4 linked regions of the Arabidopsis thaliana genome follow. Each later gene encodes a partner of the first gene's protein in a complex. Each region holds a gene or a part of one and is shown in the gene's direction. Other genes may lie near its edges. The genes, in order: SAG101, EDS1, AT5G66900 and AT3G48080.

The links.
Region 2: the proteins of SAG101 (region 1) and EDS1 are in contact, whole or in part, in a crystal structure (PDB 8YN0), measured with the Arabidopsis thaliana proteins. Residues at the interface, in NP_568307.3 of Arabidopsis thaliana: Glu2 (codon at 1,802), Ser4 (codon at 1,808), Leu7 (codon at 1,817), Lys8 (codon at 1,972), Ser10 (codon at 1,978), Ala11 (codon at 1,981), Leu12 (codon at 1,984), Lys14 (codon at 1,990), Leu15 (codon at 1,993), Val16 (codon at 1,996), Thr18 (codon at 2,002), Ser19 (codon at 2,005), Leu21 (codon at 2,011), Pro139 (codon at 2,615), Ile141 (codon at 2,621), Lys168 (codon at 2,702), Leu171 (codon at 2,711), Ser196 (codon at 2,786), Cys197 (codon at 2,789), Phe198 (codon at 2,792), Leu199 (codon at 2,795), Thr218 (codon at 2,852), Cys229 (codon at 2,885), Glu231 (codon at 2,891), Ala266 (codon at 2,996), Asp267 (codon at 2,999), Asn287 (codon at 3,059), Lys295 (codon at 3,083), Asn298 (codon at 3,092), Ile302 (codon at 3,104); in NP_190392.1 of Arabidopsis thaliana: Arg234 (codon at 3,236), Ser237 (codon at 3,245), Thr238 (codon at 3,248), Asn241 (codon at 3,257), Gln242 (codon at 3,260), Val244 (codon at 3,266), Cys245 (codon at 3,269), Thr248 (codon at 3,278), Ala251 (codon at 3,287), Ala253 (codon at 3,293), Phe254 (codon at 3,296), Leu255 (codon at 3,299), Thr257 (codon at 3,305), Leu258 (codon at 3,308), Ser260 (codon at 3,314), Phe261 (codon at 3,317), Leu262 (codon at 3,320), Phe295 (codon at 3,419), Tyr296 (codon at 3,422), Arg353 (codon at 3,689), Gln356 (codon at 3,698), Tyr357 (codon at 3,701), Gln359 (codon at 3,707), Ala360 (codon at 3,710), Ser413 (codon at 3,965), Asn414 (codon at 3,968), Glu415 (codon at 3,971), Phe419 (codon at 3,983), Asn422 (codon at 3,992), Val423 (codon at 3,995).
Region 3: the proteins of SAG101 (region 1) and AT5G66900 are in contact, whole or in part, in a cryo-EM structure (PDB 8YN1), measured with the Arabidopsis thaliana proteins. Residues at the interface, in NP_568307.3 of Arabidopsis thaliana: Met292 (codon at 3,074), Lys295 (codon at 3,083), Ile302 (codon at 3,104), Tyr306 (codon at 3,116), Trp309 (codon at 3,125), Tyr310 (codon at 3,128), Lys313 (codon at 3,137), Cys314 (codon at 3,140), Val317 (codon at 3,149), Arg324 (codon at 3,170), Phe331 (codon at 3,191), Pro332 (codon at 3,194), Ser333 (codon at 3,197), Lys334 (codon at 3,200), Glu335 (codon at 3,203), Phe336 (codon at 3,206), Asp337 (codon at 3,209), Ile338 (codon at 3,212), Asn339 (codon at 3,215), Asn342 (codon at 3,224), His343 (codon at 3,227), Glu347 (codon at 3,239); in NP_201491.1 of Arabidopsis thaliana: Arg429, Tyr583, Lys606, Met629, Tyr658, Tyr660, Asn682, Asn684, Met708, Leu732, Glu777, His801, Asn802, Leu803, Leu805, Leu806, Met808, Phe809.
Region 4: SAG101 (region 1) and AT3G48080 share a complex: the UniProt entries of both Arabidopsis thaliana proteins name them as parts of the nuclear complex.

What each region holds. Positions count from the first base shown.
Region 1 is NC_003076.8:4,826,956-4,831,528, forward strand, and holds SAG101 (senescence-associated gene 101), read left to right. Parts: upstream 1-1,543; 5' UTR 1,544-1,798; coding exon 1,799-1,818; intron 1,819-1,970; coding exon 1,971-2,337; coding exon of another isoform or gene 2,338-2,346; exon of another isoform or gene 2,347-2,457; intron 2,458-2,587; coding exon 2,588-3,814; 3' UTR 3,815-4,027; downstream 4,028-4,573. Other genes in the region: AT5G14920 (Gibberellin-regulated family protein), read left to right, coding at 1-533, 622-806. UniProt on the Arabidopsis thaliana protein: Acyl hydrolase that triggers the leaf senescence onset. Can use triolein as substrate to produce oleic acids.
Region 2 is NC_003074.8:17,754,829-17,760,152, reverse strand, and holds EDS1 (alpha/beta-Hydrolases superfamily protein), read left to right. Parts: upstream 1-2,005; 5' UTR 2,006-2,460; coding exon 2,461-2,778; intron 2,779-2,854; coding exon 2,855-3,586; intron 3,587-3,682; coding exon 3,683-3,763; intron 3,764-3,859; coding exon 3,860-4,600; 3' UTR 4,601-4,824; downstream 4,825-5,324. Other genes in the region: RR5 (response regulator 5), read left to right, coding at 46-116, 867-1,041; AT3G48080 (alpha/beta-Hydrolases superfamily protein), read left to right, coding at 5,008-5,324. UniProt on the Arabidopsis thaliana protein: Positive regulator of basal resistance and of effector-triggered immunity specifically mediated by TIR-NB-LRR (TNL) resistance proteins.
Region 3 is NC_003076.8:26,714,200-26,719,612, reverse strand, and holds AT5G66900 (Disease resistance protein (CC-NBS-LRR class) family), read left to right. Parts: upstream 1-1,654; 5' UTR 1,655-1,711; coding exon 1,712-2,498; intron 2,499-2,588; coding exon 2,589-2,992; intron 2,993-3,101; coding exon 3,102-3,454; intron 3,455-3,536; coding exon 3,537-3,733; coding exon of another isoform or gene 3,734-3,768; exon of another isoform or gene 3,769-3,849; coding exon 3,850-4,682; 3' UTR 4,683-4,890; downstream 4,891-5,413. Other genes in the region: AT5G66910 (Disease resistance protein (CC-NBS-LRR class) family), read left to right, coding at 1-68, 163-362, 443-1,275; AT5G66890 (Leucine-rich repeat (LRR) family protein), read left to right, coding at 5,230-5,413. UniProt on the Arabidopsis thaliana protein: Probable disease resistance protein.
Region 4 is NC_003074.8:17,751,917-17,757,067, reverse strand, and holds AT3G48080 (alpha/beta-Hydrolases superfamily protein), read left to right. Parts: upstream 1-1,877; 5' UTR 1,878-1,922; coding exon 1,923-2,240; intron 2,241-2,320; coding exon 2,321-3,073; intron 3,074-3,145; coding exon 3,146-3,964; 3' UTR 3,965-4,605; downstream 4,606-5,151. Other genes in the region: EDS1 (alpha/beta-Hydrolases superfamily protein), read left to right, coding at 1-501, 598-678, 775-1,515; AT3G48070 (RING/U-box superfamily protein), read right to left, coding at 4,771-4,870, 5,097-5,151.

The sequences.
Region 1 (4,573 bases):
ACTTCCATCGCCATCTCCGGCTACCAAACCGCCGTCGCCAGCTCTCAAACCGCCGACGCCGTCGTACAAGCCACCCACGCTGCCAACTACTCCTATTAAACCACCCACCACAAAACCTCCGGTCAAACCTCCAACTATTCCGGTTACACCAGTAAAACCTCCGGTTTCAACTCCTCCGATCAAACTACCGCCGGTACAACCACCTACGTACAAACCCCCAACGCCAACAGTTAAACCACCGTCCGTCCAACCACCTACGTACAAACCCCCAACTCCAACGGTTAAACCACCCACTACATCACCGGTTAAACCACCCACTACGCCACCAGTTCAATCACCGCCGGTCCAACCACCTACGTACAAACCCCCAACGTCACCGGTTAAACCACCCACCACAACTCCACCGGTTAAACCCCCCACCACGACGCCACCGGTCCAACCACCTACGTACAATCCCCCAACTACACCGGTTAAACCACCTACAGCGCCGCCTGTCAAACCTCCAACACCACCTCCCGTAAGAACTCGGATAGGTAATAATAATTTTCTTTCAAAAGTGTGATGATTATCGGTCGTTGATTAGATCGGATGTATAATTGGACTAAATTTTGGACGGTTTAGATTGCGTGCCTTTATGTGGGACGAGGTGTGGGCAACACTCGAGGAAGAACGTATGTATGAGAGCGTGCGTCACGTGCTGCTACCGCTGCAAGTGTGTTCCCCCAGGCACCTACGGTAATAAGGAGAAGTGTGGATCTTGTTACGCCAACATGAAGACACGTGGTGGAAAATCCAAATGTCCTTGAACCTTTATATGACGATGGTTGTTAAACGAAATAATTTAAATCAATGGAGTTTTTATAAGTTTGTAATGCGTTTGTTTTTGTTATAGTAATATTGAGTTGGATCTTTGTTTACGGGACGTAGAATACTAAATAATGAAAAAAACCTTCTCGATGAATTAAGGGTTTTATGAATTTGTTTTGTATTGAATAATATAGGGATGGATAAAGTTTTATTATTCTAACAGGTTACTTTATTAGGCATTTCTTCGGCTCATGTAACTCTTGTATCGCTGAAACTATGTAATAGATAGAAGAACCTAAAAAAAGAAAGAAAACAAGAAATGCACATAGCGAAGCTCAAAAGATGAGTGTTCTGCTAGCGGTAATGTTGTTATTCAGTTGGGTCAAATGCTCTAATTGCAAATCTTATTTGGGCCTTATATAGACTCTTATGTGCATATGGTCCAGCCTATTTGGGCCGATGTGTTTGAAGATCATTTGGGAAAGTCTTGCGCAAGGAGAACTTACTTGGGACTTGGGAGACTTGGAGTAACAAATTCGTCTTGGAGTAACAAATACATGTCAACTTATTCCACAAGTTCTTTGTGATAATGATATACATATTTAAATGTTTTAAAAAAGGGAAAGAATAAACAAACTCTTTGTGACTTTTTGGGTATTTATGATTCTTTTGGTCCTTCTCTTGTACACATTTGAGTCCTATCTTATATGGTAAGCTTTCAAATGCAAGCGTGTTATTTTTATTCACACTTGTTCTATCTTAATAGTATGTTGAACTCTTCGCCTTTGGCGATTCTTCCCGGAAAAGGGACCATTGACTTTCAGATACACTTCTTTTTTTTTTTTATAATAATTATTATCAGTTCAATGATTTTTCAATATGGACTCTCGTTCTCAGACATTTATTTCTCTCAGTCTTACAATATAAATTTTCATTCTTACCATCCATAATTTTGTATTGTCTTCTCCACAGATCTATTCCAGCTCACGCCATGGAGTCTTCTTCTTCACTGTAATCATTACAATTCACTCTCTTGTCTTTCTAACTTAACCTGCTTTGTTCAGCTTCTTTCGTTTCTTGAAAACCGTATTTTTTTGTTGATGATATTTTTATTTCTTGTTCCTTAGACATTGACTTAAATTCACAATTTTCCTGGTTTTTAGAAAAGGTTCTGCACTTGGGAAGCTTGTGGTGACCTCTGGTCTCTTACATAGCTCATGGAGTAAGATCTTGGAGATACATAACCCACCTTATTCGAATCATGATCCAGGTCTACAAGTTTCAAAAAAAAAAAAAGATTCAGGTCTAGAATTTCAGATTCACCGAGAAGAGAAATTCACACTTGTGGTTTTTAGCGCACCACCGATCTGCAGAAGTAGTAGCTCTGATTCTACTCTTCTTCATGTGAAAGATAAAGAAAATCCTTTCCCATTCCTCTGCTCCGAGAACAACCCATCATTCTCTCTTCACACACCTGCTTTTAACCTTTTTACCTCTGCTTCTACTAGTCTCACTTACCTCAAATCAGAGGTAATTTAATCTCCATCTCTTCAGTCTTATCTCGTTTTTAAGACTAATTCAGAATCTTGAAAGTTAGTGTCTGCAGAAATATATCTCTGCCGTGTTTGCAATTCAGTCCAATAGCTTTTTAATACTCTGTTTCAGATTTTGTTTGATCTAGTATATGTTTCTTTGTGTATTGTCTGGTTTTAAAAGTCAACAACTATAAGAAACAGAATCTTTGTACGTAGAAAACTTGAAAGTTATATGTCTCTTGCAGTTGCTCCAAACGCTCAAGTCTGAGAAACCGGTGATCATCACCGGAGCTGCGTTAGGAGGGTCTGTTGCATCTCTCTATACGCTATGGCTTCTTGAAACCATCGAACCGACGTTAAAACGTCCCTTATGCATCACATTTGGCTCGCCATTGATCGGAGACGCTTCTCTTCAACAGATTCTTGAGAACTCTGTGAGGAATTCATGTTTCCTTCACGTTGTATCAGCACAAACTCGTATCAAGATGGACTTCTTCAAACCTTTTGGAACGTTTTTGATCTGTTTTGATTCCGGATGTGTTTGCATCGAGGACCATGTGGCGGTCACAGAGTTGCTAAACGGTGTTCATGATTCGGGTCTAGTAGACTACAGCCAAGTTCTAAATCGTCTTGACCAATCCATGTTGTCTCTGGCGGATTCAAGATTGATCCCTGAAGATGTTATCAAAGGAATAGAGAAACGTGCAGAAATGAAAAATCTGCGATTTGATATGATGTTTAAGAAACTAAACGACATGAAGATATCGATGGCTTATATAGAGTGGTACAAAAAGAAATGCAAGGAGGTCAAGATCGGTTACTACGATCGGTTCAAGACTCAGCTCGCGTTTCCGTCGAAAGAGTTTGATATAAACATCAAGAATCACCACAAATCAGAGCTAAACCGTTTTTGGAAATCAGTAGTTGAAGAAGTAGAGAGGAGGCCGCAGAGCGATGCATCGATTCTCAAGAGACGGTTTCTATTCTCGGGGAACAATTACAGACGGATGATCGAACCACTCGATATTGCTGAATATTACCTCGAGGGTCGGAAAGAGTATCGAACTACGGGAAGGTCTCACCACTATGTTATGCTTGAGAAATGGTTTGGAATGGAATCGATATTAATAGAAAAGGAAAGATGCAAAAAGAGAGATTTGAGTGATCTTTTGACGTTTGATTCTTGTTTTTGGGCTGAAGTTGAGGATTCGTTGATTGTAATTAATCAGTTGAATACAACTGTGGGGATGAGAGACGATGTGAGAGAGGTATTGACTAGAAAACTCGTGGAGTTTGAGGGATACGTGTGGGAGATAATCACAAAACGTGAGGTTTCGCCGGAGATATTCTTAGAGGAAAGCAGTTTCATGAAGTGGTGGAAAGAGTACAAAAAGATCAAAGGCTTTAATTCTTCATACTTGACCGAGTTTATGAACACCCGGAAGTACGAGAGTTATGGTAAGTCACAATAATGGAATAATTTGGTAATTTATTTACATTTCAGGTTACTAGTGTGTGATTGTTATTATTCATTTACAACGAGAATTAGTAGTTTCTAGTAAATTTCGTTACCAATTTCTTCCCGTTTACAAGAAAAAAAAGTATTATATTTAAGAAAGCAAAAGCAAAAGACAAAAGTGTGTCATTGCGAGAGTAACAGAAGTGAAATAAAATAACGTTATTTATGTGTTCTTGTAAGGGTGGTATGATGAAGTTTACATCAATCGCAACAACTCTTAGAGTATTCGTCTTAGGATCGTGACGGATTGCATAGAACTAACTACTCCAGATCGTAATTTGCATATATAACCTCACCCGTGTGAGCAATGCCTCTAAAGTTTACAGTACTAGTCCTTATTAATAAACTTACTTTCAATGAAATCCTCCAAGACCCACGAATAATCAAATGAATTACTCACGTCAAATCTCACTAAGCTACTACTCCTTTTTGTTAAACGTCCTAAACTCCTAATCTATATACTCAATAAGGAAATCTTTTTGAGTATACCTTAGGTAAAGGGCCAATAATAAACCCAATAAAGGCCCATTAACGTTAGGGCAATAGAGGTGCATTAAAAAGAGAGCAATAACTAATATGTTCGAGCCATCTTGATCAGTATCTCGTTGATTATTCTTGGTCTTCTTGCTATGCCTGCCTTTCCATGGCAAAACCCTAAATCTCTTGAAGAAAACTTTCTGCTCAAGAATCCCACTCCATTCTTTTTTTGTCG
Region 2 (5,324 bases), on another chromosome or scaffold:
AAGTTTTGATCTAATCTTGTTTATGGATTTTGAACTTTTTAACAGGAATCATCAGCTTTCAGAGAAATACCAGTTGTGATTATGTCTTCAGAGAACATCTTGCCTCGTATCGATAGGTATATTCTACTATAATAATCTTAACTATGATCCTTAATTCTTGTTTAGGTCAAGATTATGTAGGACCAAAATTTACCAAATATAGTAGATTTTGTGCATTTATTACTTCAGGAGATGGGGATGATTAGATTTAGAGGGTATTGTTTGTTTAGGAAACTTTTTAAAGTAATCACACTAATTTAGGATTTGTGATAAAGTTACCGTTAAAGGATATGTATTGACTAAATTAAATTGTTGTATAATCACAAGATTTTGTTATGATAGAAAAGGTTATTATATGATTACTTTTTAACTATCATGGGGTTAACTTTGGTGGTGGTTGTATATTTGATCAAGCTGAGATTTGGTGTTTATTTTAGTGGGTCCTAAAATGATTTTTAAAATGGATCTTAGGAATAATAAAATTTATCTTGTGGCCATAAATTTAGAAAAGAATAATCCATCATAAGTTAAGCAAGATCTTCTCTTGAGATTTGATTCTATATAAGCCGGTGACATGTTAGGCCCTCCAAAACTTTATAATATATGTTTTAATTGTTTGGGTTGCATAATCTTAGGTAGGGTCATTTATAAAATCCCAATCCTCGTGATAGACACCTCACATGCCTTTGCTTATTACTAAGGAACCAAACCCTCTTTACCAGATTAAGTTTAATGATTATCATATATGAGCTGGCCATTTTCTGTATCCAAAGTTATAAACTTTATGGAATTAGATCACTAACATTTGGTTCCTTATATTTATTCAGATGTCTTGAAGAAGGAGCTGAAGATTTCTTATTGAAGCCTGTGAAATTAGCTGATGTGAAGAGATTAAGAGATTCTTTAATGAAAGCTGAGGAAAGAGCTTTTAAGAATATTATGCACAAGAGAGAGCTTGAAGCTAATGATATCTACTCGCAGCTAAAACGCGCAAAGATCTGAGTTTATCAGATTCCACGTACGATATGTTCTTTAAAAGCTCAAAGATTCACACACATGCATGTCCTGATTCTTTCGGCTTACAATTTTTGAGACATTACGGCTTCTTTTGCTGATAGAACCAAGACTGATCAAGAGTGACAAAGATGGGTTTTTATAAGATAGAAATGTAAATTGTAGACTTGGATTCATTAGAGAGGAGAAGAGATACATTTTTTTTTTCTTTACATGAGAGATATGTAAAATGGTGGTGTGTTATTTTGGAAGTTAACATATGAATTTCTTTTGTTAAGATTACTTAAATAATGATTTAGGAATGGATTAGTAGTTTAGTACCGTTCATTACACGAAGACAAGCTAATCTTTTGTCTAATTAAAATAAAGCTGTCTACATGAATCGAATCCAGCGAGATAAGTTAGTTATTTTAAGCGTTGGTTGGAACACTTTACATGGCTTTTCGTAGAAATTTCCCCAAGTTGGGTTTTATTAAGACCAAGAAAATTCTAGTCTCCTAGACTTTTTTTTGTTTCTTTTGTTAATTTAGTCTCCTAGGCTTTTTCATTCTATCTGAAAGCAAAATATGGTTATGCAATTTGGTTTAGCCAAAAAAACAAACTAAATTTTTCTAGTCCGGTTCATGTAACTTCATAATCAAACAAGTAAAAGTCGAATGTGACGCGTCTTGCCGAACGCAAAAACGGACCAGGCAAGAAGGTGTAGTTAGTTAATTCGGTTAATATTCAGCTGAGAGAAATCGAACCGGTTCCATATCTTGTAGATTATCCGGTTTACTTTCCGGATAAGATTTATAAGCAAAACAGAGTTAAAGTAGTAGATTTCTTCTATACGAGACCAAATCTGAAAACCCAAGTCAAGCTACAAAAACTTAACTCCAAGCGAACAAATCTCCTCATTCATTAAACAACAAAATTGTTTTCCGACAAAAAAGTGAATATCATTGAGTTACTGCGAAATCCCAACCGAGAGTGACATCTCAAACCAAAAGATGGAGTCTATATTAAAGAGACGAAGACTCCAAAGTCAAGCTACAAAATTTCCAAGCAAAGATTACACAGAGAAAACTTTCCGACCAAATGTGAATGTTTATGAAAGTTTCTGCGAAACTCCAGTCATGTCGGATGTACAAAGCCATACACCAATGTAAAACCGACACGTGGAAAGCTAAGATTCCTAGCTTTTCTTTCTTCATGAGTCTCCAATAGCCAAAGAGTCAACTCCAAAAAAAAAAACCCATTTTTGCATTGAAATGGTCTCATGATGGGGTATTTTGGGTAACTAATTAGTCCTGTCTACATCTTCCCATAAATTAACAGAGTAGGAGCGGATTAAAGAAGCAAGACGATTCAAAAGAAAAAAGAGAGAAGAAAGTCCACTAAAGAAAAGAGAATAGATATAGATCAATGGCGTTTGAAGCTCTTACCGGAATCAATGGTGATCTAATCACCAGATCATGGTCAGCCTCGAAGCAAGCTTACCTAACCGAGCGCTATCACAAGGAAGAAGCAGGAGCAGTCGTAATCTTCGCTTTCCAACCATCTTTCTCAGAGAAAGATTTCTTCGATCCGGACAATAAATCTTCCTTTGGAGAAATCAAGTTGAACCGTGTTCAGTTTCCTTGTATGAGGAAAATCGGTAAAGGTGATGTAGCTACTGTTAACGAAGCTTTCCTCAAGAATCTTGAAGCTATCATTGATCCAAGAACCTCATTTCAAGCTTCTGTAAGAAGATTGAAAACATCCGAATATATTTTTCTTTTTTTTTCTTTTTTGGTCTCTTATGCTTTTACTTCTTCAGGTGGAAATGGCTGTGAGGAGTAGAAAACAGATAGTGTTCACAGGACATTCCTCAGGAGGTGCAACTGCAATCTTAGCAACAGTTTGGTATTTGGAGAAATACTTCATACGCAATCCAAATGTTTACCTTGAGCCTCGTTGTGTGACATTTGGAGCTCCTTTGGTTGGTGACTCTATCTTCAGTCACGCACTTGGGAGAGAAAAATGGAGCCGGTTCTTTGTGAACTTTGTCTCAAGATTCGATATTGTCCCTCGGATTATGCTTGCTCGAAAGGCGTCTGTAGAGGAAACTTTGCCTCATGTTCTTGCCCAATTGGATCCCAGAAAGTCTTCCGTCCAAGAGAGTGAACAGAGAATAACAGAGTTTTACACAAGGGTGATGCGAGACACATCAACTGTTGCAAACCAAGCTGTTTGTGAATTGACTGGAAGCGCAGAGGCGTTTTTAGAGACCCTTTCTAGTTTCCTTGAGCTAAGTCCTTATAGACCCGCCGGTACTTTTGTTTTCTCTACAGAGAAGAGATTGGTTGCAGTGAACAACTCGGACGCCATTCTTCAAATGCTGTTTTACACTTCTCAAGCCAGCGATGAACAAGAATGGTCTCTAATTCCATTTCGAAGTATCAGAGATCATCATAGCTATGAGGAACTGGTACAGTCGATGGGAAAGAAGTTGTTTAATCATTTGGATGGAGAAAACTCAATAGAGTCTACGCTCAATGACCTTGGAGTGGTAAGTCTCTCTCTCTCTCTCTTTTCATACTGTGCAGCTCCATAGCTCCATTCTTGCAATCATTTAAACCCTTCAGAGTGTTTCCTTTTTCTGCAGAGCACAAGAGGCAGACAGTACGTTCAAGCTGCATTAGAGGAAGAGAAGAAACGAGTAGAGAATCAGAAGAAGATTATTCAGGTTTGTGGTTGATAAGCTTGTTCATGAATAATGCAGGTACGTGCTTCGTCTGTTTGTGTCTAACAACATAAAACTTGTTGGTTCTGTGGTTTTTAGGTGATCGAGCAAGAGAGGTTTTTAAAGAAACTAGCATGGATAGAAGATGAATACAAGCCAAAGTGTCAAGCCCATAAAAATGGGTATTATGATTCCTTCAAAGTTTCAAATGAAGAGAATGACTTCAAAGCAAACGTCAAGAGAGCTGAGTTAGCCGGTGTTTTTGACGAGGTGCTTGGTTTAATGAAGAAATGTCAACTTCCAGATGAGTTCGAAGGGGACATAGATTGGATCAAGTTAGCAACTCGATACCGCAGATTAGTTGAGCCTCTTGATATTGCAAACTACCATCGACATTTAAAGAACGAAGACACAGGGCCGTACATGAAAAGAGGAAGACCAACCCGCTACATATATGCTCAGAGAGGCTACGAACATTATATACTGAAGCCAAACGGAATGATTGCAGAAGATGTATTTTGGAACAAGGTAAATGGTCTTAACTTAGGGTTACAGCTAGAAGAAATTCAAGAGACTCTAAAGAATTCGGGATCCGAGTGCGGATCATGCTTTTGGGCTGAGGTTGAAGAACTCAAAGGAAAGCCATACGAGGAAGTTGAGGTAAGAGTTAAGACATTAGAAGGGATGCTTGGAGAATGGATCACAGACGGGGAGGTAGATGATAAGGAAATATTTCTGGAGGGTTCAACGTTTAGAAAGTGGTGGATTACGCTTCCCAAAAATCACAAATCGCATTCTCCTCTGCGAGACTATATGATGGATGAAATAACAGATACCTGAACCTTAGGTGGTGGAGTATTTAAGCTATTAGAACACTTGCTTCTCTTAATTTGTGCAATAAGAAATGTTTATCAATCTGGTTTCCACTTCATGATGATCTTAGAATAAGAAACATGTTGTATGATCATTGTGAAGTAATGTAATAGCTCTCTATTCTAATGTCAAATTTGGTTTCCACTTTACAGTGATCTTAGAATATATACGTTACTCTACTAAAGCCTAAAGCCATCTCAAATAGCATGAACCAGTAACAAACAACCTTCCTTAGATTGAAATGGTCTCATGATGGGGTATTTTGGGTAATTACTCCTGTCTACATCTTCCTACTATATTAACAGAGTAGGAGGACTAAGAATCAAGACGACTCAAAAGAAAAAAGAGAAGAAAGTCCACTCAAGAAAAGAGAAATGGCGTTTGAAGCTCTTACGGGAGTCAACGGTGATCTAGTCACCATATCATGGATGGCGTCGAAGGGAGCTAACCAAACGGAGCACTATCTCAAAGAAGAAGTAGGAGGAACCGTTTTTTTCGCCTTCCGAGCATCTTTCTCGTCGGAAGATTTGTTCGCTACGGAGAATACATCTCCCTTTGGAGAAATAAAGATGAAGCGTAATCAATTTCCTTGTATGAGAAGCATCGGCAACGACGTTGACACTACTGTTAACGAAGCTTTCCTCAAGTCACTTGAAGTTCTCATTGGTCCAAGAACCTCATTTCATGCTTC
Region 3 (5,413 bases), about 22 Mb from region 1:
ACTAACAAGTTCATGTTATACCTTAATGAGCTTGCTTCCCAGAATCTGCTTAAACTTGTTCATCTCGGGTACGTTGGTGTTGTTTTTTACAACATTTGTTTCATTGCACCTTCTTGCCATCTACCATTTGATCATGAACTTATTTGTTTTACTTACTACCAGGACAAATAAGCGCGAAGACGGTTTTTACAATGAGTTGTTAGTCACTCAACATAATATTCTGAGGGAGTTGGCTATTTTTCAAAGTGAATTGGAACCAATCATGCAAAGAAAGAAACTAAATTTGGAGATACGAGAGGACAACTTTCCGGACGAGTGTTTAAATCAACCTATTAATGCTCGACTTTTGTCTATCTATACGGGTAATTCTTTAAGATCCTCTTCTTCTTTTTCCCCTGAAAATCATGCATAGAAATATGACCACCTTTTTTTTTTGTTACAGATGATTTGTTCTCATCGAAATGGTTGGAAATGGATTGCCCCAATGTTGAGGCTTTAGTTCTTAATATCTCCTCATTAGACTATGCATTGCCAAGCTTCATTGCTGAAATGAAGAAGCTAAAGGTTCTGACAATCGCAAATCACGGTTTTTATCCAGCAAGATTGAGTAATTTCTCGTGTCTCAGCTCATTACCAAACCTGAAACGGATTAGATTTGAAAAGGTTTCAGTCACTTTGCTGGACATTCCTCAATTGCAACTCGGCAGTCTCAAGAAGCTATCATTTTTCATGTGTAGTTTCGGTGAGGTTTTCTACGACACAGAAGATATAGATGTCTCTAAAGCTCTATCGAATTTACAAGAGATTGACATAGACTACTGCTATGATCTTGATGAGTTACCATATTGGATCCCCGAAGTTGTTTCATTGAAGACACTTAGCATCACAAACTGTAACAAGCTCTCTCAACTTCCAGAAGCTATAGGGAACTTGAGTAGACTAGAAGTGTTGAGGATGTGTTCTTGTATGAATCTCTCTGAGCTGCCTGAAGCAACTGAGAGACTCAGCAACTTGCGGTCTCTGGATATTTCTCATTGCTTAGGATTGAGAAAGTTGCCTCAAGAGATTGGCAAACTACAGAAACTGGAGAATATCTCGATGAGGAAGTGTTCGGGATGCGAGTTGCCGGATTCAGTGAGGTATCTAGAGAATCTGGAGGTCAAATGCGATGAAGTAACTGGATTGTTGTGGGAAAGGTTGATGCCAGAAATGAGAAATTTGAGAGTTCACACGGAGGAAACAGAGCATAACCTGAAGTTGCTTCTAACGTTTTAAGTTTTGAGTGAAAAAAAAAACATTTTCGTAGCTTGTGTATTCTTATTGACTCTTTAATGATCACAATCTAGACTAAACGAGTAATAATATTACAAGAGTCAACATGCTATGTCTCGGGTTTGATACTAGTTTATTGCTCTGTAATGAAATTACTAACCACGCTGTATCATTGTATGTACTAGTGATTTTAAATTATGAGCTTTTCAAATACGCATGTTATATTGGGCCGTAGAAACATAAAGGCTTAATTTGAATAAGCCGCTTTGAAAAAGGCCCAATCTAAGAAAGGCATACTCTCGCACGTACGAGGAGAGCACGTTCCGTCTATCGAACAACGTGTGGTTAACGTAAAAGACCAAACGCAAACGCAGTCGTTTTCCTTGGTCATTGCGCGGCAAGGGACCGAGTCTGAGAAGTCAAAGGCGACAGCTTTGCTATGCAATTCGTCTCCTTCGTCTATCTACATTTTTATGAACCACACATTGATATTTCAGTGATCCCCTTTTTCGATTTTCAGCGATTCTACAAACAAGTTTTTTTTTTTTTTTTGGATTCTGGGTTTTGTCTGAGAAGTGAAAGAATGAACGATTGGGCTAGTTTGGGAATAGGTTCTATTGGGGAAGCTGTGTTTTCCAAGCTCCTGAAAGTTGTGATTGATGAAGCAAAAAAGTTCAAAGCTTTCAAACCCTTGTCCAAGGATCTCGTATCAACAATGGAGATATTGTTTCCGTTAACTCAAAAGATTGATTCGATGCAAAAAGAGCTTGACTTTGGTGTAAAGGAACTAAAGGAACTTAGGGATACGATCGAAAGAGCTGATGTAGCTGTTCGGAAGTTTCCAAGAGTCAAGTGGTACGAGAAATCTAAATATACTAGAAAAATTGAGAGAATCAATAAGGATATGCTTAAGTTCTGTCAGATTGATCTTCAGCTTCTTCAGCATAGGAATCAGTTGACGTTGTTGGGTTTGACGGGAAACCTTGTGAATTCGGTTGATGGTTTAAGTAAAAGAATGGACCTTTTGAGTGTTCCTGCGCCTGTTTTTAGGGATCTTTGTTCGGTTCCCAAGCTTGATAAGGTTATTGTTGGATTGGATTGGCCATTGGGGGAGTTAAAGAAGAGACTCCTTGACGATTCTGTGGTTACTCTTGTGGTTTCTGCTCCTCCTGGTTGCGGGAAAACCACGCTGGTTAGTCGGCTTTGTGACGATCCAGATATCAAAGGTATGTATTGTTGATCCACATTAAGTCTTAAAGTTTCAATTTTTACTCGTGAATAGTTGAGCTGGTTTCTCATGTAGTTTCCTTTGGCAGGGAAGTTCAAGCATATCTTCTTTAATGTTGTGTCAAATACTCCTAACTTTAGGGTAATAGTACAGAATTTACTCCAGCACAACGGTTACAATGCACTTACATTTGAGAATGATTCTCAAGCAGAAGTTGGCTTAAGAAAACTGCTGGAGGAACTTAAAGAAAATGGTCCTATATTGTTGGTGTTGGATGATGTGTGGCGGGGAGCGGATTCTTTCCTTCAGAAATTTCAAATTAAGTTACCAAATTATAAGATTTTGGTGACTTCTCGGTTTGACTTTCCGAGTTTTGATTCCAATTATCGTTTGAAACCTTTGGAAGATGATGATGCTAGAGCCCTTCTCATTCATTGGGCATCGCGACCTTGTAACACGTCTCCTGATGAGTACGAAGATCTCCTCCAGAAGGTTGTTGTTTCATTCATCTAGATGAACCTCTATACATTTGTGATCTACGAAATCTGTAACTATATCAATAGATTCATCTTTTTCTTTTTTCACATGGTGAGTATTGCAGATATTGAAACGTTGCAATGGATTCCCAATCGTAATTGAAGTAGTGGGTGTTTCACTCAAAGGACGATCTCTAAATACATGGAAAGGTCAGGTGGAAAGCTGGTCTGAAGGGGAAAAAATTCTTGGTAAGCCTTATCCAACTGTGCTAGAATGTTTGCAGCCTAGTTTTGATGCTCTGGATCCCAACCTTAAGGAGTGCTTTTTGGACATGGGCTCATTTCTTGAGGACCAAAAGATACGTGCTTCGGTAATAATTGATATGTGGGTGGAATTATACGGTAAAGGTAGTAGTATCTTGTATATGTACCTTGAAGACCTTGCCTCCCAGAATCTACTTAAACTTGTTCCTCTCGGGTATGTTATTTATGTTTCAAATCTATATCTTTGCACCTTCTTGCCATCTACCATTAGTGGAACTTATTTATTTCTTTATCAGCACAAATGAGCACGAAGACGGTTTCTACAATGACTTCTTAGTGACTCAACATGATATCCTTAGGGAGTTGGCTATCTGTCAAAGCGAATTTAAGGAAAACTTAGAAAGAAAAAGACTAAATCTGGAGATACTAGAGAATACATTTCCAGACTGGTGTTTGAATACTATTAATGCCTCTTTATTGTCTATCTCTACGGGTAATTCTTTGGGGTCTTCTTTTTCTGAAAATTAAACTTAATGATTATACAAATCTCTGCTGTTTCTAGAAATATGACTTCTCTATAACTATGATTGGTCTCTCTTTTTCTTACAGATGATTTGTTCTCATCGAAATGGTTGGAAATGGATTGCCCCAATGTTGAGGCTTTAGTTCTAAATCTCTCTTCATCAGACTATGCATTGCCAAGCTTCATCTCTGGAATGAAGAAGCTGAAGGTTCTGACAATCACAAATCACGGTTTTTATCCAGCAAGATTGAGTAATTTCTCGTGTCTCAGCTCATTACCAAACCTGAAACGGATTAGATTGGAAAAAGTTTCAATCACTTTGCTAGACATTCCCCAACTGCAACTCAGCAGTCTTAAGAAGCTGTCTTTGGTCATGTGTAGTTTCGGTGAGGTTTTCTACGACACAGAAGATATAGTTGTCTCTAATGCTCTATCGAAATTACAAGAGATTGACATAGACTACTGCTATGATCTTGATGAGTTACCGTATTGGATCTCTGAAATTGTTTCATTGAAGACACTTAGCATCACAAACTGTAACAAGCTCTCTCAACTTCCAGAAGCTATAGGCAACTTGAGTAGACTAGAAGTGTTGAGGCTGTGTTCTTCTATGAATCTCTCTGAGCTGCCTGAAGCGACTGAGGGACTCAGCAACTTGCGGTTTCTGGATATTTCTCATTGCTTAGGATTGAGAAAGTTGCCTCAAGAGATTGGCAAACTGCAGAATCTGAAAAAGATCTCGATGAGAAAGTGTTCGGGATGCGAGTTGCCGGAGTCAGTGACGAATCTAGAGAATCTGGAGGTCAAATGCGATGAAGAAACTGGATTGTTGTGGGAAAGGCTGAAGCCAAAAATGAGAAATTTGAGAGTTCAGGAGGAGGAAATAGAGCATAACCTGAACTTGCTTCAAATGTTTTAAGTGAAAGAACGTTATCGTAGTAGCTTCTGTGGATCTTGTAATGTTTGTTATTCATTATTTTCGTTGTTATATACATTATAATGGCTACTGAGTCCAAGTACAGAGAAAATGTCATGCCAAAGAATTTTGTGTAGGTCAATCTTTTAAAACCATTTAAGAGTACTACTAAATCCTTGATCCTTATCTAACTTGAATAGATTTGAACAGAGTTATTCACCAACATTTTTGACAAACTATAAATGTAATATTCAACATTCTTAATGTTAAAAATATAATGTTGGTAAATTCTTTGAAAATCCTAAAATGTGAAGTCAAGTCTCCTTTTTCCTTTGCTAGCTAAACTTCTGTTCTGGGATTCAAACAATGGTTTGTTTGAAACTTCAAAGTACCGCGTGACTTTTCCGTTATAAATTTGATCTAATGGCTTTTATGAAGAGTCACGTTTTTTATAATCAAAGAAAGAGTCGGTCAATAGATTAAAATTTCTCTCAAATTGCTTGGTTTTCATCTTAATTCATAATTCTCCTCTCCCTTCATAGGAACCATTATGAATTCGAATTCGATTCAAAGCTTTGATGCCTTGCCCCACAATCTTCGAGAGTGTTTCTTGGACATGGCCTCATTTCTTGAAGACCAAAGGATAATAGCTTCCACTATAATTGACTTATGGTCTGCATCATACGGTAAAGAGGGTATGAATAACCTCCAAGATCTTGCCTCTCGCAATCTCC
Region 4 (5,151 bases), on another chromosome or scaffold:
TCAAGATTCGATATTGTCCCTCGGATTATGCTTGCTCGAAAGGCGTCTGTAGAGGAAACTTTGCCTCATGTTCTTGCCCAATTGGATCCCAGAAAGTCTTCCGTCCAAGAGAGTGAACAGAGAATAACAGAGTTTTACACAAGGGTGATGCGAGACACATCAACTGTTGCAAACCAAGCTGTTTGTGAATTGACTGGAAGCGCAGAGGCGTTTTTAGAGACCCTTTCTAGTTTCCTTGAGCTAAGTCCTTATAGACCCGCCGGTACTTTTGTTTTCTCTACAGAGAAGAGATTGGTTGCAGTGAACAACTCGGACGCCATTCTTCAAATGCTGTTTTACACTTCTCAAGCCAGCGATGAACAAGAATGGTCTCTAATTCCATTTCGAAGTATCAGAGATCATCATAGCTATGAGGAACTGGTACAGTCGATGGGAAAGAAGTTGTTTAATCATTTGGATGGAGAAAACTCAATAGAGTCTACGCTCAATGACCTTGGAGTGGTAAGTCTCTCTCTCTCTCTCTTTTCATACTGTGCAGCTCCATAGCTCCATTCTTGCAATCATTTAAACCCTTCAGAGTGTTTCCTTTTTCTGCAGAGCACAAGAGGCAGACAGTACGTTCAAGCTGCATTAGAGGAAGAGAAGAAACGAGTAGAGAATCAGAAGAAGATTATTCAGGTTTGTGGTTGATAAGCTTGTTCATGAATAATGCAGGTACGTGCTTCGTCTGTTTGTGTCTAACAACATAAAACTTGTTGGTTCTGTGGTTTTTAGGTGATCGAGCAAGAGAGGTTTTTAAAGAAACTAGCATGGATAGAAGATGAATACAAGCCAAAGTGTCAAGCCCATAAAAATGGGTATTATGATTCCTTCAAAGTTTCAAATGAAGAGAATGACTTCAAAGCAAACGTCAAGAGAGCTGAGTTAGCCGGTGTTTTTGACGAGGTGCTTGGTTTAATGAAGAAATGTCAACTTCCAGATGAGTTCGAAGGGGACATAGATTGGATCAAGTTAGCAACTCGATACCGCAGATTAGTTGAGCCTCTTGATATTGCAAACTACCATCGACATTTAAAGAACGAAGACACAGGGCCGTACATGAAAAGAGGAAGACCAACCCGCTACATATATGCTCAGAGAGGCTACGAACATTATATACTGAAGCCAAACGGAATGATTGCAGAAGATGTATTTTGGAACAAGGTAAATGGTCTTAACTTAGGGTTACAGCTAGAAGAAATTCAAGAGACTCTAAAGAATTCGGGATCCGAGTGCGGATCATGCTTTTGGGCTGAGGTTGAAGAACTCAAAGGAAAGCCATACGAGGAAGTTGAGGTAAGAGTTAAGACATTAGAAGGGATGCTTGGAGAATGGATCACAGACGGGGAGGTAGATGATAAGGAAATATTTCTGGAGGGTTCAACGTTTAGAAAGTGGTGGATTACGCTTCCCAAAAATCACAAATCGCATTCTCCTCTGCGAGACTATATGATGGATGAAATAACAGATACCTGAACCTTAGGTGGTGGAGTATTTAAGCTATTAGAACACTTGCTTCTCTTAATTTGTGCAATAAGAAATGTTTATCAATCTGGTTTCCACTTCATGATGATCTTAGAATAAGAAACATGTTGTATGATCATTGTGAAGTAATGTAATAGCTCTCTATTCTAATGTCAAATTTGGTTTCCACTTTACAGTGATCTTAGAATATATACGTTACTCTACTAAAGCCTAAAGCCATCTCAAATAGCATGAACCAGTAACAAACAACCTTCCTTAGATTGAAATGGTCTCATGATGGGGTATTTTGGGTAATTACTCCTGTCTACATCTTCCTACTATATTAACAGAGTAGGAGGACTAAGAATCAAGACGACTCAAAAGAAAAAAGAGAAGAAAGTCCACTCAAGAAAAGAGAAATGGCGTTTGAAGCTCTTACGGGAGTCAACGGTGATCTAGTCACCATATCATGGATGGCGTCGAAGGGAGCTAACCAAACGGAGCACTATCTCAAAGAAGAAGTAGGAGGAACCGTTTTTTTCGCCTTCCGAGCATCTTTCTCGTCGGAAGATTTGTTCGCTACGGAGAATACATCTCCCTTTGGAGAAATAAAGATGAAGCGTAATCAATTTCCTTGTATGAGAAGCATCGGCAACGACGTTGACACTACTGTTAACGAAGCTTTCCTCAAGTCACTTGAAGTTCTCATTGGTCCAAGAACCTCATTTCATGCTTCTGTAAGTAAACAAAAGCTTCTTAAATGCGTTTTAAATCGAAAACATCAGAATAATTTGTGTCTGAAACTTACTTTCTTCAGGTGCAAAGCGCGGTTGATAGAAAACAACAGGTTGTGTTCACAGGACATTCTTTCGGAGGCGCAACTGCAATTCTAGCAACAGTTTGGTATTTGGAGACATACTTCATACGTGACGCCTATGCTGCCCCTGAGCCTCGTTGTGTGACATTTGGAGCTCCTTTGGTTGGTGACTATATCTTTAAACACGCGCTTGGGAGAGAGAATTGGAGCCGGTTTTTCGTAAACTTTGTTACAAGATTCGATATTGTCCCTCGGATTATGCTTGCTCGGAAGACAACGATAGAGCAAACCCTGTCTTACGTTCTTGGCAAATTGGATTCTACAAGAGCTCCGATCCATGAGAGCGACCAGGTGATAACAGAATTTTACACAAGGGTGATGCGAGACACATATACTGTTGCTTCCAAAGCTGTCTGTCAGTTGATTGGAAACGGAGAAGCGTTTTTAGAAACTCTTTCTAGTTTTTATGAGCTAAGTCCTTATAGACCAGTAGGCACTTTTGTCTTCTCTACACAGAAAAGATTGGTTGTAGTGAACAACTCAGACGCCATTCTTCAAATGTTGTTTTACACTTGTCAGTCCAACGACGAACAAGAATTGTCTGTGATTCCATTTCTAAGCATTAGAGATCACCATGGCTATGAGGAACTGGTACAATCCATTGGTATTAAGTTGCTTAATCATTTGGATCTGCATAATCCGCTTTTGGATGGAGAAAACTCAATAGGCTCCGCTCTCGACGACCTTGGAATGGTAAATCTTTTTCTCTTTTCAATTTGTGCAGCTTCATTAGCTCCATCCTTATTTATGTTTCCTTTTTTGCAGAGCACAAGAGCCAGACAGTGTATTCATGCTGCATTAGAGGCTGAGAAGCAACGAGTGGAAAATCAGAAGAAGATAGAAACCAAAAGAGATCAAATAGTAGAAAGACTAACTTGGATAGTGGAAGTATACAAGCCAAAGTGTCAAGCTCATAAAAATGGGTATTACGATTCCTTCAAAGATTCAAATGAAGAGAATGACTTCAAAGCAAACGTCAAGAGAGTGGAGTTAGCCGGTATTTTCGACGAGGTGCTTGGTTTAGTGAAGAAAGGTCAGCTTCCAGATGGATTCGAGGGGAGCAGAGGCTGGATCAATTTAGCAACTCAATACCGCAGATTAATTGAACCTCTTGATATTTCAAACTACCATGGGCAGTTAAAGAACGAAGACACAGGGCCGTACATGTTACATGGAAGACCAAGCCGCTACAAATACGCTCAGAGAGGGTACGAACATGATATATTAAAGCCAACTGGAATGATCGCAAAAGATGTGTTTTGGAGCAAGGTAAATGGTCTTAACTTAGGATTACAGCAAGACATTCAAGAGATCTTAAAGAATTCGGGATCCGAGTGCGGTTCATGCTTTTGGGCTGAGGTCGAAGAACTCAAGGGAAAGCCATATGAGGAAGTTCAGGTAAGATTCAAGACACTAGAAGGGTTGCTTGAAGGATGGATCAAAGACGGGGAAGTAGATGAGAAGGAAATATTTCTGGAGGGTTCAACATTTAGAAAGTGGTGGAATACACTTCCTGACAGTCACAAAATACATGCTCCGCTGTATCCACGTGAGCGTATGATGGATGAAACAAGAGCTACCTGAACCTTAAATGGTTCGATTATTGAAACACTTGCTTCTTAATTTGTGCAATAAGAAATGTTTATCAATCTGGTTTCCACTTCACGATGATCTTAGAATAAGAATCATGTTGTATGATCATTGTGAAGTAATGTAATAGCTCTCTATTCTAATGTCAAATTTGGTTTCCACTTTACAATGATCTTAGAATAAATACATTATTCTAAAGCCTAAAGCCATCTCGAATAGCATGAACCAGTAACAAACAATCTTCCTTAGTGTTGACAGAAGGAAAGAGGACCAGAATGTCATCAGAATAGAGCCTGAGGTTACTTCAATTGTTTATAACATTACTAACCTCTATACCTCAAAACAAGTGGCTGTGCAAACGCTCCAAGTTCTAGCTACTACATAACCAAAGAAGAAAACGATTAAAACACAAAATTTGAAACTTGCCCTATGCCCCTCTGTATGCTAGTTAGCTCGATATGAAAGTTTGACTCAAGTATGTCTCCTAAACACAAGTAAATAAAAGAGTAATCACATTACCAAGACGTTCCTGTTAGATTTGCGTTCCACCAGAATCCTGCATCAGTATAATCAACTCAAGGATGCATACCATATAGCTAAGGAGGAAGTAGATCATTCACAAAAGAATCAGACAATAGAAGTAATCTTCAACTCTTTCGCGCGAATGTCAATTTTATATATAACCAAACTTGACTGTCTATATGCTGTATTTAGTCGCTCAACATAGAATCAAGTAGAATGATATAACATCTATGGCCACCTTAAAATAACAGACGACATAAAATGATACCTTTAGAGTATTACAGATAAGCAAGGTTCTCGCAGGCTATGAGAAAGAGACTTATTGCAACTTTTATGTATTTGAAATTCGTGTACCACCTTATGTACTCACACACCACTCTACATAACCACCACCACCACCACCACATGTTTCAGATGAAGAAGAGTCATTGACATAGAAGAACATAGAACATAGTTCTCAGTTGCCAAAAGACAAATCCCTATACCCATATCTAAAGAGTTTTAAAGACAGGTGAAAAACGTAGAACATGCGAGGAAAACAATGAAGAAGAGAGAAAACAAACAGACACAGGCCGAGAAAAGCCACACATCCTTTCTTCATGACCTGCAAAACATGCTAGACGAACGAGCAAGCCGAATAGTCAGACCACCACCTTGAA